Linked DNA regions of Cricetulus griseus. The protein of the gene in region 4 interacts with the protein of the main gene of each other region in a pairwise test. Links are inferred from orthologs where the notes say so. Each region holds a gene or a part of one and is shown on either strand. Other genes may lie near its edges. The genes, in order: Zdhhc17, Ubash3a, Hsd3b7 and Spry2.

What was found.
Region 1: the proteins of Spry2 (region 4) and Zdhhc17 interact in binary tests that used the Homo sapiens proteins (3 or more experiments, as listed by UniProt). The link is inferred for Cricetulus griseus from reciprocal best matches to the Homo sapiens genes SPRY2 and ZDHHC17.
Region 2: the proteins of Spry2 (region 4) and Ubash3a interact in binary tests that used the Homo sapiens proteins (3 or more experiments, as listed by UniProt). The two-hybrid records come from large-scale screens. The link is inferred for Cricetulus griseus from reciprocal best matches to the Homo sapiens genes SPRY2 and UBASH3A.
Region 3: the proteins of Spry2 (region 4) and Hsd3b7 interact in binary tests that used the Homo sapiens proteins (3 or more experiments, as listed by UniProt). The two-hybrid records come from large-scale screens. The link is inferred for Cricetulus griseus from reciprocal best matches to the Homo sapiens genes SPRY2 and HSD3B7.

What each region holds. Positions count from the first base shown.
Region 1 is NW_023276806.1:144,512,815-144,516,996, reverse strand, and holds the start of Zdhhc17 (palmitoyltransferase ZDHHC17), read right to left. Parts: upstream 2,811-4,182; 5' UTR 2,704-2,810; coding exon 2,611-2,703; intron 1-2,610. UniProt on the Homo sapiens protein: Palmitoyltransferase that catalyzes the addition of palmitate onto various protein substrates and is involved in a variety of cellular processes.
Region 2 is NW_023276806.1:259,573,587-259,577,779, reverse strand, and holds the start of Ubash3a (ubiquitin-associated and SH3 domain-containing protein A), read right to left. Parts: upstream 2,844-4,193; coding exon 2,731-2,843; intron 977-2,730; coding exon 923-976; intron 1-922. UniProt on the Homo sapiens protein: Interferes with CBL-mediated down-regulation and degradation of receptor-type tyrosine kinases. Promotes accumulation of activated target receptors, such as T-cell receptors, EGFR and PDGFRB, on the cell surface.
Region 3 is NC_048596.1:72,969,200-72,973,432, forward strand, and holds the start of Hsd3b7 (3 beta-hydroxysteroid dehydrogenase type 7), read right to left. Parts: upstream 2,802-4,233; 5' UTR 2,654-2,801; intron 2,309-2,653; 5' UTR 2,303-2,308; coding exon 2,137-2,302; intron 1,898-2,136; coding exon 1,742-1,897; intron 1,527-1,741; coding exon 1,418-1,526; intron 1,348-1,417; coding exon 1,248-1,347; intron 1,126-1,247; coding exon 963-1,125; intron 584-962; coding exon 168-583; 3' UTR 1-167. Other genes in the region: histone-lysine N-methyltransferase SETD1A, read right to left, coding at 3,893-4,066, 4,142-4,233. UniProt on the Homo sapiens protein: The 3-beta-HSD enzymatic system plays a crucial role in the biosynthesis of all classes of hormonal steroids. HSD VII is active against four 7-alpha-hydroxylated sterols. Does not metabolize several different C(19/21) steroids as substrates.
Region 4 is NW_023276807.1:257,384,614-257,388,622, forward strand, and holds the start of Spry2 (protein sprouty homolog 2), read right to left. Parts: upstream 2,831-4,009; 5' UTR 2,408-2,830; intron 1-2,407.

The DNA.
Region 1 (4,182 bases), on a different chromosome or scaffold from region 4:
TCAGGGTTGTCTGAAAGAGGGAGAGAAGGAGAAAGAGGAGAAGGAAAAGATAAAACAGAAGCAGCAGAATTGTAATCCCAATCACTCTGGCCCCAAAGCCTGTGTTCTCCATTATCTCATGTAACCTCCTTAACGAGCCATTAGTAAAGTGTAGTTATCATCTTCATCATCATCCCAATTTCACACACTCAGAGAAGTAACAGACCCCTGTTCTGCCCCTAACACACTCTAAGGAGCAGAGTAATACCAAGTCCACAGCAGGTGCAAGAAACTAACCACAGAAAAAAATGACGACTTCAGTCAGTCCCCAGAGTTCGAGAATTTAAACTACTAGACCTTGTGCTTACAGGGTAAAAGGAACATATATCATACCAATTTCAACTCTGAACAAGAGGGAAGTTGACTTTCTAGTAATATACCATCTATTAAATAATAGACTGATGACACCTAAACTTCAAGCTCTCTATCATATCAAGCAATCTCTAAACTTATTAGCAAGTTAAAAAAAAAAAAAAGTTTGCCAGGCTGTGGTGGTGCATGCCTGTAACCCCAGTACATGGGGAGGCAGGCAGATCTCGGTGAATTCAAGACCAGCCTGGTCTACAAAGCAAGGGCAGTCAAGACTGTTACACAGACAAATCCTGCCTCGAAAAACCAAAAAGTTTCTGAGATAGTCTCACTATGTAATCCTGGATAGCCTGGAACTTGCTATGTAGACCATATCTTACTCAGAGATATTCCTGACTCTGCCTCCCAAATACTGGGCGTGCACTACCACACCCTGCAAAATTATGTTTAGAGTAACAAACAACACACTTTTACAAAGCAACACCTTTTTGTTTTGTTTACAGTTTGGTCTGGTTTTTGGAGACAGGGTATCATTTAGCCCAAGCTGGCCTCCAACTCCTTATACTGTTTGGGCTAGTTCTGAATTCCTAATCACCCTCCCTCCACCTTCACCAACTGTCCTAAAATACTTAGGGCACTTTAAGTGCTTGAAACATACACACAGGAACAGATGAATAGAAATATTCCTTAACCACAATTGCAAAATGTCTCAAAACTTTCTGGACATATTTTTAGGGCTTAAGTGTAAACCAAACGAAATGTCTCTAATGCCAATTCTAAGATTGTTACCACTTCCATTTTTTAATGATTTGTTTATTTTACTTCATGTGCACTGGTGTTTTGCCTGCATGTATGTCTGTGTGAGGGGTGTCAGATCCCCCAGAACCGGAGTTAAGACAGGTGTGAGCAACCATGTGGTTTCTGGGAATTGAATGCAGGACCTCTGGAAGAGCAGCCAGTGCTCTCAACCACTGAGCCATCTCTCCAGCCCCTACCACTTCATTTAAAAAAAAAAATTTATTCTTACTGCATAGTTCTGTCAGAAGCCCAAAGTAACTTTTTTTTAATGAGACTTCTCCGGGCACGTATTTCTAAGAAGCTGTCTAGTTTTGGGTGTAATGAAGTTATGAATGAGATGATGACTGATGACGGAGAGTGAACATATGAGAAAGTGGTCCTTGTTATTCACAGTTTTCTCAAGATACAAAAATCCAGAAAGAAAATCAATTTCAAGCCAAGTAACCACCTTTGTTGGCCCGGCAGTGAACACCACAGATCTGTGCACAATATTCAACCTCAAGACACGACCTGAATTCTACAGGGAGAAGCGCTCCTCTTTCCTCCCTTCCCCGCATCTCACCGTGCACCGTTAAAACCGAATGAATACACATTTGCTTCGAGGTCTTTGCTAAACACAAATCGGCCACAAACGGGGAGGTAAACAGCTACAGAACGTGGCCGATATTCGCTTGGATAAGAAGATACAAAAGAAACGATGGGAAACGTGTTGCACTGTCTATCCATCCTCCCCGACACAGACCCGGGTCCTGAAACAGCTGTACTCTGACAAGCTAACGTACCTGTGTGTGTGTGTGTGTGTGTGTGTGTGTGACCAGTGTGTGTGGACCGGGGGGGGGGGGTTATCCCGAAAATTCTGACCGCTCTTTGTTTTTGTTTTAATTTTAATGGCTTAAGGGCAAACACTCAAAACCACCGAACCCGACGTCCTGAGCGGCGAGTTGGTTGCTCTGACTTATCCTGGAAGGACATCACTTTGCCCAAGAAACTACAATTGACCCCACCAGGAGTGAAGTGATGGGGAAGGCAGTGTCACCCACCCACCCACCACGAACGAGGAGAGCAATGCAAAGCACATCCGCTCGCTGCTCGCCCTGGGAAGGCTTGGAGCGAGACCAGGGGCTTCAGCGCAGGTTCCAAAGTGTCAGCAGGCCCCCCCGTCGCCTCTGCACCCGCCGGCAGCGCGGCGACCTAGCAGACCCATCCACATCTCCACCTCTGTCCTCCAGGCACCGCCAGGGACGGCGTCCCAGAGCCCGCCCCGGCCGGGCCCGCCCCGCTATCTCCTCCCCCGTTATCCGCTCGCCACCGCGCTCGGGCCTGGACTCCCTCCTCCAGCCTCCCTCCCCGGGTTCCGCGCGGACCCCCTCGCGGACGCCTTCGGCCTCCGCCCTTGGCCAGCCTGAGGGAGCGAGGACGGCGGGACCCAGGGCCCGGGACCAGGCGCTCGTCGCGGCCCCTCACCTCGGGGTGAAGAAGGGGCACGCAGCCCGTTTCGGTATCGTACTCATCCGGGCCGTCCGCCATCTTGGTGTTAAATCCCTCCTCCCGCTGCATGCCGGGAGAAAGCGTTTCAGCCTCGCGGGGCTCGGCAAAGGCGGAGGGCGAGCGCGAGCCCCGACGAGGGCGACGCGGCCGCCGCCTCCTCCTCCTTTTCCTCCTCCTCCCCCTCGCCCAAAGCCCCCGGGACGCCCCCTCAGCCCCTCCCTCCGCGGCGGGCGCGGGTCCCGACGCGCGTGCGCGGTCCGGGCCGGGGCGGGAGTGTGAGAGCTCTGCTGCACTGCGCCGGGACAACGGACAGCGCTGGGCGTGGGCGTCGCGATCCGGGGGCGGGTCCCGGTCGCAGACCGATGCTGGTCCGCTCGGGTCACCCGGGAAAGGCGGCTAGAGGAAGGACCTGGTCCCAGAGCTGGGCAGTGCAGGGCCGGGACCCCTCCCAGGGAAGCTCGGGGGGCCTCGGGCGTTTGCCTCTCTAATCTCTACCTGTGCCTCGGGGACACCCGAAGGAACAAGGACAAAACCTGGCTTCTTGGGAAAGCTTTTTGTTATGTGATCCCGTCTTGCCCTCTTTGGCATTGAGCTAGTGCCTTTCTAAATCATTGTTTTACAAGGTCAAAGCCCCACTCATCCCCCCCCCCCATCTGCTACATTTTAATATAACCTAGGAATTCAGATGTGAAAGCACCGGAGTGTGACCTAGATAAAAATGACTAAAGCCATCTTTAAGAGGATATTAGGGCTGGGAGGGGGGCTGGTGGAAGGATTCTAGATTGGATTTGTTTCTGGTTTGGGCTACGAGGGATTGTGAATCTCTACCGCTCCAGGGCACATTCAGCAGAGAGCGATTAAGAAACCCGACCGATTGGAGATCCTGATAGTAACCAGTTAAAGGCAAATCAGTTCACCAGGAATCGAATCCTGCAATCGAATAAAACCAGATTTGTTTGTAAAACGGGAGGAAGGCACGGTAGAGGAATAAAGAATAGAGATGGAGGAGGACTCCCCCCATTCCCCCTTTGTAAGGTTTAGCTTCCCGCCAAAAGAATCCGAGGAGGGTCTAGGGAGAGCTGGGATCGGTTCTGGATTGGACCTCGATTCTGAGGAGGTGAGGAAAAACCGGGAATAGCAAGGCATTGGATGCGATCCTGAGCCCAGGACAATTTAATGACTGGGCGCTCCCAGTAACAAATGCACATGACAAAGCAGACTTATATTCGTTGGTAAAAGAGCAGTAATCTCTCAGAAAAGGATGACTATGCGGTTTTATAGCTGCTTCTGGTGAGAGGAAAGAGGCAGTACCCATGAGTGTCCTCTCAGCACGGCTTTTCCTTCCTTCACGGACCGATTTTCATTCTTCTAGTCCCGGCAGAAACCAGGAATCATGCAAACCTAAACAGAATTTCGAGTTCTCCGTTTACAGCGCCAATCTTTCCCCCAGTCAACAAGGACAGAATCCTTTGATTGGAATATTCCGGCCGCATCTCCTTACCCTGACGCTTTTTGCTTTTTTTTTTTTTTTTTTTTTTTTTTTTTTTG
Region 2 (4,193 bases), on a different chromosome or scaffold from region 4:
ACTGTGGATAGAAAGAGAGAAGCTGTCTCACGTTCCCGCTGCATGGCTTTCCCGCCATGATGGAGTGCACACCCAAACACTCCCAGATAGACCCTTCCTTCTTTAAGTGGCTTTTATCAGGCATCTGATCTCAGCTACAGGAAAGGAAACTAACACAGAACCCAGGTCCCCATGCATACTCGAACTGCAAGCCCTCCACAGCAAGGAGTCACAGCCAAGCCCAGGATCTGCCTTTTGCTGTTTGATTTCCATGGTGGCTACTTCAGATAAGAGCAGGAGGGACTTCCCAGTTGGGTGGGGAGGAGCTCCTAAGAACAAGGACCCCCTCCCACCCCAGGAGGCTGAGGGTGACAGACAGGTGGCTGGAGTGGGAGTTCAGGAGCGTCATCTTTCCCTACACCCCTTCCGGGTGTATCCTGAGATACCTTGGGGATTCCCAACCGTCTTTAAATTCTCTTCCATCTTCAGTGACCTGAGAGTATGGTGAATTTCATATCAACAAAAACGACACCTTCCTACTTGTTTAACATAGATCATAAACAAGAACCTCTTTTATGAGTCAAATTTGGATTAAGTCAGTTTTGTTTTGGTGTGTGTGTGTGTGTGTGTGTGTGTGTGTGTGTGTGTGTGTGTGTGTGTGTGTGCTCTCACTAATGCATGAATGTTTATGCACCAGGGGTGGAACCCATGCTGGGCAGGATCTGTCTAGAGTCCTAAATCTGGCTTTTAAGTGAGAAAATCTCTAGATTCTCTCTTAATGTCTTAAGGAGAGTTTTATTACTTTCCTGGGCTGGGTGGAAATGGATGCCATTCTACTTCACTTCCACAGACACCCGGTTCCCCCCAGAGGACCCACCCAGGGAATAGAGTCCAGGTGGTGTCACCCCAGCCCCCTTAGGCCTGCAGCTCCCATCCCACTTACCAGTCTGCAGCCTCCTCCGCTGTCTTCCTCCCTGTCGCTGCTAGCGCTTTGAGCCTGCGGGTCATGAACACAGGATGGTCAAGGCCCAGTTGGTTTTTCCTTGGAAGGGGTGAGTTGTAGGAGTGAGGAAGCTACTCATCCATGCTGTGTCCTAACAGGGCCAAGCTGCGGGACATCCCAGCAGGTACCCTTATGCCAACATCTCCATCCTTCACACAGAGATTCATGCTCCAACCCTCACCCCCACTCACTCCCCTCCTATGACCTCTTCTTCCTGGGCCCCGGAGTCCTAGAACTCAAGACCTGACTTCTGTCCTCTCTTGCTTTCCTCTCTCCGCACCCTGCTACCCTAACAAAGCCAATCCTATGCACGTGTGACTGCTGAGGTCAGCTGGGACAGGCTGCACTCCTGGCACATGCTTCCCAGACACATGAAACCCCACCCCAGTTGCTCAGCAGGAAGCGTCCCTTACCCAACCACTGGGCAGACTGGTCCACATCCCTCTCCTGTGTCCCCCACTCTCAAATGCTCATTGGTGCTTTCCTCATGGCTCCATGTGTTTTATTCATTCAGGGACCTGGGATGTAAATACGTTGACTTGTATTTGGCTGAGCTGGGCCAAACAGAGCAGAGTGGGCCACACACCCAGCCATCATTAGCTGATACAGCAGTCCCCATTGGAACCCCGAGTAGTGCTGCCCAGTACTACACCCATTTGTGTGAAGAGCAGTGGGGCTGTAGCCACCCGGAGAGGCCATGACAATGAGGCCATGCCATGAGCCCTACTCTGAGCCCTGCCCAAGTAAGAGCTTTAGACCCACAGGTGTTTATTGTTTGAGCTAGCGGGGATTTTGAAGGGGAGCCCACCAGCTTGAGCAGTAAAACAGAGTGGGTCGGGGAGGCATGGGGAGCTGGCTCCTGACCTAGGCTTGCCACAGACTATTGTTTAGGCCTTGATGTTCTCATCTGCAGAGGGATGGTGAACATATCACTGATGGCTTCCTGATGGTCTGGGTTCTGTTCCCCATTTAGTGACAACAAAGCCCTGATATTGGGAGCAGACTGGACTAGCTTCAATACCCTGTCCTCCACAGTGGCCAGAGTCTTTTTTATCTCATCGAAGGAGCGTTTGGCTCACTCCCCCAGCCCCCACCAGGCCTGGGCTCCCTGAAGCATACTTCTTACTTATGTCTTTCTGGGAATAAGGACTACAGCTAAGAAGCGGGTTTGCAATGGATGATGGGACCACGGTCAGCAGCATCTGTGCCCTCTGAGCCTGGGGACTTGGATGAGCCAAGTGGTGCTGAGCCCCACTGTCTCTGGAATTTCTCACTCATTCTCTTGTCACCTGAACATTCCAGAAACTTTCCCTAGAGACAAATGGCTTTCCCTGGGCTGCTTAGAAACTCGGATGGTAGTTCTCTCAGGGGGTCCTATCCGTGGAGACTCAAATATCAGAGTCACATACCTTGAACTGTCTGTCACTTTTGGTGTCACTGATTGGCAGGAGAATTGGCATCTGCCCTCACTCTCCTCCAAACCCCACAAGTGGGCCTCCAGAGACCCACATGGCTTCTATGTTTCAACTCTATCAGTCAGGTAGAAGAGATGATCTTTCAAAGGTCAAGACCATTCCATGTATAAACAGGAGGAAGGGGCCTCTTTGGAGACACCATCTCACACTAGTGTGACCGCTTTAGCAGGAAGTCAGCAACACTTGCTTATCCAGGGGGTGGCAGGTGGAGCAGAGGGGTCTAACCAGGCAGGGAAGCCGGGCTGTAGGGCCCTGGCAGCTGCAAGTACTCACGCGATATGTGCGGGGAAACCCATGGTCAGGAGGGGGTCCAGGAGCAAGGAGGTGTTGCGGCCCTTGAGCTTGTTGGAGACCTTGGCATAGAGCTGGGTCTCCCCCGCAGCCATGTCTTCCTGCTTGCCGGGCAAGAGGAGCCTGCCTGCTCACTGCAAGGCACAGATAAAGTGAGAGCAGAGAAGGAGGCAGGCTGAGGCTGTGAAGAAAAACCTCAAGGCTTTTTTGATCTTTCTGACACAAGCGAATATCCTGTTTGCACAATGATTGGGCTTGAATTCTCCTTGTGCGTCCACAGCAGCGTCTTCTAAATCCACCTGCTTCCATGGGGGGGGGGGGGGAGAGGGACTGCCCTGAAGCTCATCACTGGGGTTTGCTGGGTACTTGGGGAGCTTGAAGAGGAGGAACACCTGAGAAGGCTGAGGGAGCAGGCTTCTCTCGAGGGTTCTGCTGGCATCCACCCTGGACCTTAGCCTCCTTAGTCTGCATTCAAGACACTGAAATTCACTCTTTGCATGGTCCCTGCTTGCTCTAAAATCTAGAAAACCTAGTCTTTTTTAGTTTTTATTGACCTTTTTTTTTCCCCAAGAACTTTTAAAGTCCAGTGGTATGTGTGCAGCATGAGGAATTTCCATACAGTGAGCACATTCTCTGACCCAGGACTGATGAAACAAGGGTGTAAAACCTAGGGCATTTTAGTTTTACACCCCTCTCTAAAGGGACAGTTGACAGTGTCTGGAGACATTTGTGGTTGTCAAAAATCTGGGAGGGGTGGGACATGTGGCAACTAGAGGATGTCAACCACAGCTGTCATCAGCTGCACAGCACCCAGGACAGTCTACAGCAAAGGGTGAGCTTGTCTCGTGTGAGCGACGCAGGTTAAGAGACCCCATTCCATGGATGTCAATAAGGAGTACTCTGCACCCCAGGAAGCCTCTGGTAGTGGATTAGTATTTTTCCCTGGTGTAAGAAGGGACTTTGAGAGCCCATCCCATGTGAAGGGATACACTCTGGCCCTGGACACATGGGGAAGGGCCCAGGCCCAGCACAGGAAGATTTGGTGGACTTTGCAGAGCCCCTGTTGAGGGCCCTACCCTGCCTGGGGAGTGGTGGGTGGATGGGGTGGGGGGTAGGTTGGGTGGGGGGAGGAGGGATGGGGGTGAGGAAAGGGAGAGGGAGAAGGGACTTACATGTGAAACAAGCTTGTTCCCTAACTTGAACTAAAAAAAAAAAAAAAAAAAAGAGACCCCGTTCCAGAACTTTCCATTCCCTAGAGGACCTGCCCCACCTTGCCTCTTCTTGTGGGTGCCCCTCCCCTACAGATCTACTTTAATTTCAAGTCTCATGCTACTAGAACACTGTAACACATGCTATGTCATGACACACTTTTCCTTTCTTTCCTTCTTCCTTTCTGCCTGCCTTCCTTCTTCCTTCCTTCCTTCCTTCCTTCCTTCCTTCCTTCC
Region 3 (4,233 bases), on a different chromosome or scaffold from region 4:
GAATACCAGCCAGGCTCAGATCTGTGTAGGTAAAATGGCAGGGTCCATACCGCCCAGTCAGACACCACAGCTCCCACGTCAGAGGGCAGCCATGTCTCTTCCTCCAGGCTCTGAAGGCTCAGGACCTGAGTATGTACCACAGTGGCCTCCAGTCCCTGGCCCTGCCATCACCGGGCTGAACCCTCCAAGGTCTGCACCCAGAGAATAGTGCGGGCCTTGCTCTCTTCCCATGAGAAGAGGGGCTTGTAGCCAAAATGGCGCTGTGCCTTGTTGGTACTGACAGTAAAGGTGGTGTTGGCCATGGCCAGAGTGTAGGGATTCAGCAGGGGTGTGTACAGCACCAGTGGGCGGAGCAGCCACTGCAGCAGGGCATTGAGGGTAGCCAGCAGCACCAGCAGCCAGTAGGGCAGCAGTGGGTGGGTGCCTATCAGTCGAAGTCCACAGGGACCCAGAAACTCCATGTTGAAGTCCTCATAGCTCTTATAAGGTGATTTGTCATAGCAGAAGTACACCTGGCCCCCCATGAGTGCCGCCCGCTGCTCCAGCTCTCGGGCCACCAGCACGTGCATCCAAGCCACATTGCCTACCAGTAGGGAGGGAGGTAGATATGCCACTGAGGGCCCTTGGTCCAGTCCCCTATTTGGCCCCATGTAGATGCCACCCAAACCTCACTACTGTCTGGACAAGGTAGCCAGCAGCCTTCCTGGATGTCCTGTACAGACGCTGCCCTTCTCTTTCTTTGGAGAACTGTCAGGCTCAGCATAACCTATGACATATTTTTTATGTCAGCCCTCCCAACTGACAAGGATACTTTCTCTTTTGCACCCATGCAGAAAATGCCCACATGATCACTGTCTGCCTGGGCCCTCACGGAGCCAGGGCGACACTCATGACTCTGCCACCTTGAGAGACAGACCTCTTGCCCTGCTCTCCGTCCCCCCTTGCCCTTGCCCTGTCCTTACCAACATACACCCGACCGTGCTCCACAGAAGCTGGGATGGCCCGAAACAGCCGACCCCCAAAACGTAGGCCCTGGTTGTAGAAGTCTCTCATGATCTGATGACCTTCACCATAGATGCCCGTGGGTCGAAGGGCACATGTCACTAGGGGTAGCCCTCCGTTGACCTGATAACAAAGGGAAAATGTTGGAGTGTACCCCTCTACCCTGGCCACCATGCAGTGGAGATGGAGTCAAAGAAACCTGGGGGTCAGTCTTCAGCACCCCAAGCCCTGTCTTTGCAGTATACCTTCCTCCCATTGGCCTCCAGGACCAGCTGCTCAGCAAGCGCTTTGCTGCAAGGATAGGGGTGCCTGTGGACTGCCTCATATGGGGTGTCTTCATTGCCCCTAGGCGGGGAGAAAAAAGACTCAGTGCTGGAAGGAAGTGGACTCTGAAATTAAGTGGGGCTAAGCTTACCTGTAGAAGGGGTGGCCCTTGACATTAGGCCCCACAACTTCCATGCTGCTTGTGTAGATCAGGAACTGAGTTCCAGTCCGTATACAAGCCTCAATCACATTCTGTGTGCCTGTGAAGGGGACAAATGCAAGCTGTGTCTTCCTGACTCGGCCTCTTTTTCTGCTCCACCCAGTGTCTAAGGAGAACCACAAGTCAGGAGAGGATGGGACAGCAGTGATGGGGTTGGGTTATCAGCAGGACAGGCTCAGACAGGAAACTCACAGGATGGCCACAGATTAAGGGACGACCGGTGTCACACAAAAGAACAGGAAGGTAGCGCCTCACCCTGCACGTTCACTTGGTGGATGGTCTTTGGACTGGCCTTCCCAAACACATCCACCAGCCCAGCTGTGTGGATGACCACGTGAGATCCCGCCACGGCAGCTGTCACCTGGTGGGCTTGAGTCACATCCCCTTGGATGGCAGTCACCTGCACAGGCCCTGGTGGAGAGGCCCCAGGCAGTGTCAGAGCTGGGGCCTTGACCTGCAGCTGAGTTCGGCCTGCAGCTGAGTTCAGCCTGCATGCCCCCAGGGGCCACGTGCTCCCAGTGACTCACCCATCCCAGCTGTGTGAGCTGGAAAACAGACACAGGATCATCTTTTCCACAAGTGCAAGCATCCCAGTTCAGGGAGGGATGGAGCAACACCCCCTCCTCATGCTCCTGCCCGACCTCAGTCACCTGTTTGCAGCTCCTCTAGCCAGGGACTCAGGTGCAGGTCAAAGACACGCAGCTCCCGGAGCCTGGGCTCCCGTTCCAGCAGCATTCGAACAATATGCTCCCCCAGGAAGCCACAGCCACCTGTGACTAGGTATACCAGTGTTGGCACCTGTGCAGATTCTGCCATGCCCAGCTGTGGGAAGAGAATTTCCCTCACTGGAATTGCCTGATACCACCTGCTCCAACTGTGTTATTCCTAGAAGAGATCTAGTAGGTGGGGCAACGATATGAAAGAGGCCGAGTTCTAGCTGTGGGTTGCAGTTGTGTGCTTGTAGCAATCAGGCTGCCTGCCCTCTTGACCCTAACCGCTGAGTCACTAGGATTGGATGCAGAAAGGGTTAGGGACTGAGGTGGATGGAAAAAATGACTGGGGATACTAAAGGTGGAAAACAGCAGAGCTGGATAGAAAGGGTATAGAGAGGCAGGAAGAGCTGAGACTAAGAGAGGGGCCACCTGGAGCGCAGTATCATCTGCCTACCTGTGGCTAGTCCCAGGGAGTCCAAACTGGCCACTGGGAGAGGTTGTGTCCTGGACTGGTGGGCCAGCTAGCTGCACACAGGCTTCCTTCCTTCCGCTTGCTCCTCCCTCCTGGCCCATTCCAGGAAGGAGACCAGCCTAGCCTCCACCCCTAGGGGCGGGCAAGGAAGTTTGGAGAAGGGAATTTTTGCTAGAGTGCCCCCTGGTGGCCAGTTCACTCTGTGGCAGGCAGAGGACAGAACCTGCCCACTTGGTAATGATGTAGTTGGGGATAATGGGGTGGAAACAGGGTGACCTTGGTTTGTCCCTCCTGCTGGGTTCCCCAGTAGGCTGGAGGCCCAGCACTAGCTGTGGCTCTGGGGAGAGAGGAGGGAACCCTGATCTTGGTACAGCTCTGGCTAGCGTCCATGGGGAGACACTGGCATGGTTGTTGCTGTCCGTTAGGTGGTTTGCCCACAGCAGTACTGCTGTGTCTGTAGGCCTATTCACCCCAAACTTCAAGCCACCCATTTCCCCCTTCTCTTGATTCACCCACTATGTCAACTTGCATCCCAGCCTGCTCTTCCCAAAGATAGTGACCAAGCATTTTTGTACAATAAAGTTTAATCACAATTATAAAAATGTGGCGTTGGGTTTTCACTATTAACATTATGTACAATCCAGCCCAACAAGAAGGGCCTGCCCACCACCATCCTGGCCCACTGAGCCAGAGCCCTGAGACACCAGGGTGGGAGGGTGACCCACAGGGTCTGGCAGGAACAGATGAGGCAGGGTTCCAGGCACAGAGTTCCCAGGACTAGGGGCCAAAGGCCCCCCCAGGGGGAGAACATGGCCACTGCCCCAGAGACCCCTAAACTGGGGAGGGGTGCACATAGAGCTGAAGGGGGAAGTCCCCACTAACATGAAGCAGAGGGGGCTATTTAGCCCCCAAGAATAGCATCTATACAGGCTGGTACCCCAGGTTTCCACAGGAAACAGCTGCTGGCAGCTACAAAACATTTACAGCTTCTTCTCCGCAAAGAAAAAAAAAAAAAAATAAGAGGGTGGTTGGGCGTGGGGTACAGGGGAGTCAAAAGTTACCTCAAAGGACTGAGGCTCCCTTGCTGGGCTCAGGGCCCCTATCCCACATGTGGAGATGGGGACATGTGGGCCCTGCTGAGCCCACTAAGGCTGGGGGTGCTGGGAGCTTAGGGCACCAAGGGGGAATAAATAGGGGTGAGGGCACCAGTCCTGCCCCACCTCAGTTGAGGGAGCCACGGCAGCTTTCAGTGCCACACAGACACGGGATCTTGTTGTCCTCGAGTGGGAACTTGTAGTCGTAGGTGATCTCCTCATCCACGCCAATGGGCTGCTTGGAGTAGATCACAATCTTCTTCTGAGACTCGATGGTGATCACCTTAGCGTAGCAGTTGGGCTGCAGGAGGGGCAGTGTAAGCCGCAGCCCCCCTCACCCCTGCCCCGCCCAGCCCTGGCCCAGCCCTGAGCGCACCGTGCAGCAGTGGTTGATGAACCTGGCCAGGTTGCCGCACTTTGTGGCATCAATGATGGTATCGTGGTCCACCCGGAAAAGGTAGCTGCTGC
Region 4 (4,009 bases):
ACAGTTTCAGAGGTTAAATACCTTCCAGATTTTGTAACAGGTTTAAATTTGTCAGGATCCTTTTTACACTAAACACCAACAAATGCCTACAACAGCTTCGGTTTAAGTCAGCACCGAGAGTTGTGTAATCAGTATCTTTTGCCAGTCCCATATGATATAAAAGTACATTCTGAGAACAATTAAGGCTGCATTTTTAAGTAAGTACAGTGGTACAAAGTTACAGAATTGAAGTCATTTCGATTCCCATCAGCTATCACGTGAAAACAAACTCGTAAGACCAAAACGTATTTTCCACTACTCGAGAATTAAATATTCCACAGACCTATGAGTCTAGCCTTATATCCTCAATCCCAAGTCATTCTCCCTGTTTAATAAAGCATGCAAAAATGATGTTATCTTCTCGTTTTGAAAAATACCCAGAAACACAAAAGCAAGTAACAGCAATAGGAAAGGTTTTAAAAATCCTAAGTGTCACGGTTGAAACCTATCATTTCGTCAAGGGATCGCTTAAATTACAGTCATTCTTCGGTTTAAAAAGTACCACCCCTCTCCCAGGCCCTCATAAAAATACCAAAGAAAATAAGCAAAAGCGGACTTTTAATCCAACCTTGGCTTTTTGGAAAAGGGCAGCGAACAAGGCAGGTGACAAACGCCTCCTAATTCAGAACTAGACAGAGCTGGAAACCGGATCTGCTCACCTCCAACAGCAAGGTACACAAGGCTGTTCTTTGCTTTCACTGGGTTTATCGGCTCTATCTGCGCCCCCACACAGTCCGCAGCAGGTGGGACTCAGCCAGAACCCCGGGGACTTTTCTCCTCCAGGCGGACTGACGCTGTCTAGGGCCAGCCCGGCCCCTCCTGCGAGCAATCCCCTGAAGCTCAGGCAGGCAGGGGGCGCGGGCGCCTCCGAAGGGGACGTGTCGTGAAATGCACGAGCACACTTCCCCCTCCTCCGCACCCCCTCAGCTAAAATTTCCCCCAACCCAAGAGAACTGCCACCCAGCCCCAAGAGGGGGTGCCACTCCAACACGCCCACCCCCGCAGCAAGGTCACCACAAGGTGTTTCTGCGAAGGCCCTCAAAACGCTTGTCCCCACAAGTTCCCAAATCCGACGCCCCGAGGAAGAGAGCCGGGTCGGGACGCACAGCTTGCACAGAAGTCTATGTACCCACGCTCCCAGAGAGACTCCAGCCAGCGTGCAATGACCGAAGAGAGCACCGCCTGCAATCTGCACACGCCTACCTCCTTTTAGACCAAGAAAAAAGATTTATTTCTTAAAACGAAAAAAAAAAAAAAGAAAAAGCTTTATCTAGAGCCCCACTGGACACGCCAGGCGTGCAGGCCTCCGACCCCTGAGATCGGGAACTTCCCGTGAAGACTGCCCGTGAAAAGTAGCATCTTTTGGAAGAAAAAAAAAAAAAGTGATTTCTGCCGATCCCTGGCGGCCTCCTTCGCGGGCCGCCTCCACCCCCTGCGCTCTCGCAGTTCCTCTCCCTCCCCCTCTGAGTGCTTTGAAACCCCCATTAAGAACAGTGTGTGATCAGACTAAGGATTAGGGGGAAAGGACTTCAGCACTAGGGTGGGGCAAACCGACACAGAAACCCCTTTGTAAAAAAGGCGTTAAGACTCCAAATCTCAAAAACAGTAACACAAAAGAGGGAGGGGGGAAACTAGTTTTTTTTGCCACCTACTTTCAGGTAATGGAAAACGATCGCGACCACTTAATAACTCTCTTCCTGTGCTAGGTCAGCCCAAGCATCAAAAAAAGAAAAAGAAAAAAGAAAAAAAAAGCATGACCCAGGCCGACCACGAAGAACGGAAAAAAGAGAAAGCCGCACTTCCGAACCGCAGAGACGCGGCGCCAGGCTGGGCGACGCTCCCACCCGCACCGGGCTAGACTGTCCACACCGGGCAGAGGCGGGGACTCCCTCCGCCTGGCAGCCTACCCTCGGCTTGTCCGCCGAGTCTTCTGCTCCGGTGCGGTGGTGAGATGAGAAGCCCAGTACCCCAGCCCCACAGGCGCCCCCCGCCGCAGGATCGGCTTCCCCAGAACTTGGCCTTCCACCGAAAGGAGGAACAGGTTAGCAGCGTAAACGAGCCTGCAACAGCGATCAGGAAAAGCAGGGATCTCGGCGACTAAACCGCCTCCAAAGCAGGGTAGGAGCAGAACGCAGTGGAGCGGTCCTCCTCCCCAAAGCCCTTAGGGAGCGCGGTGTCGCGGAGTGGGGACACTGCACCGGCGCACCCTGCAGCCCGGCGGTGACTGAACCCCTGTCCTAGGCGAAGCAGATCCGCGGGGCAGCTCCCGATCCTCCCTGGAAGCCTACGGGTTTAGGGGAAAGAGGAACCCGTACCCCACTCGCGGCGGACTGTGGTTCCAGCAGGGAAAAAGCCAAACGCTCCTCACCGTGATCGCGGCTTTGCACCAACCCCTCTCCCTTGGACTCTCTTCTTTCTGCGATGTGCAAAGTAAATCCAGTCCCGATGCAAACTTTTTCCTTCTTTCCGAACTCTGCTTCAGTCCAACTTCCAAGTAATCGGTGGCAGGAGAAAAACAACCAGGGGAAAATTTGGAACCCAATCCTCCACCGTTGGAACCCTCTCGGATTCCGGGCTAGAGAGAGAGAGAGAGATGACCTCCCTTCCAGAAGCGCACGGAGTATTTCCTCTTTTTTTTCTTTCTTTTTTTTTTTTTTCTCAATGAACAAGAAGCCGAAGCGCCGTGGTTGGCGAAGTCTCTTTTTTCCTGGCCGATGAGAGAAAGAGAGGCGAACACGGCCTTACAAAGAACCTAAGGCCAGCTCGCCCAGTCCTGGGGGCCCGGGGCTGCTTCGGAGCGGAGGCTGGCGCGGGGCCGCGGGCCGGGCCGGGCGGGCGCGCGCGGGGCCTGGGCGCTGCGCGCTCCGCCGGCCCCCTCCGCTCGCACTGCGGCGCGCAGCTCTGGCTCGTGCAGACTGGGCGTTGCGGAGGCGCGGCGGCGAGGCCGAGGCGGGGGCGGGGTGCGCAGGGGAGGAGATGGTGGGGGAGGAGGGTCTGGGCCCGGCCGGGCCGGGGCCGGGGCCGGGCCGGGCTGGGGCTGGGGCTGGGGCCTGGGGGGGCGAGCCGCTGGCCTGCGCCCTCGCCTTTCCGGAGGAGGCAGGGAGCTCTGCAGCGGCCGCGGCAGCAGTAAATGGCGTCATGTGGATCCGAGGCGGAACAGAGCAGTTGTTGTCCCAGAGGATATATCGCATCCGGTCCCAGCTCATTGGCTCGGCGGGGCTACATTCACTCACACTCCAGCGCCCGCCAGCGCTCCGAGCCGCAGGAGGCATTCAAAAGGGCAACCGCGCCGCCCCGCGCGTCCCCAGTCGCTCCTGCAGCCCGGGCGCCGTCACGCGGGGCCGCTGCGGCCACCGCGAGGTCAGTTTATCTAGTTTCAAGGAAACACTGACCTTAAGGCTCCCCCCCCCCCCGCCCCGCCCGCTCGCTCGCTCGCCCACCCCCGGAGGCCACGAGCACCAGCCGGAGGCCAGGCTCACTTAGGGAACTTTCTCCCTCGCCGCCCGGAGACCAGAGGGGACGTTGCAAAAACTAACCCGGCCGCACGGTGCGAGCGTGAAAAGCCACTTGCGGCTTTTTAAAAGATTCGATTCGGGAATCCATTTCGGATCTACCTCTTCGCCTCCTTCGCCCGCCCCACCCCCTCCAATGCCCAGGGGGGCGAAGAGGGTGGGGGGAGCGGGAGAGGGAGGGAAAGGGGAGCGGGAAGTGAGGTGGGAGGGCTATTGGTTTATTCTTTGTCTACTGGATTAACCCGATTATACACCGGGCACCAGCACAAACCGCCTCCCCCACCTCCGAGCCTTGTACGGCAGGAACGGAATGCAGATTCGGGTTTCAAGTCCCTTCTGCTCTGGCTGGGATTGGCTTTTGATTGTGTGGACGTGTAGTTTGTTAGAATTTCATTTTTAAGAGGGATTATCTATAGATGGAGGCCTTTTGAAGACTTTTTTGGGCATTGTTTTTGCTC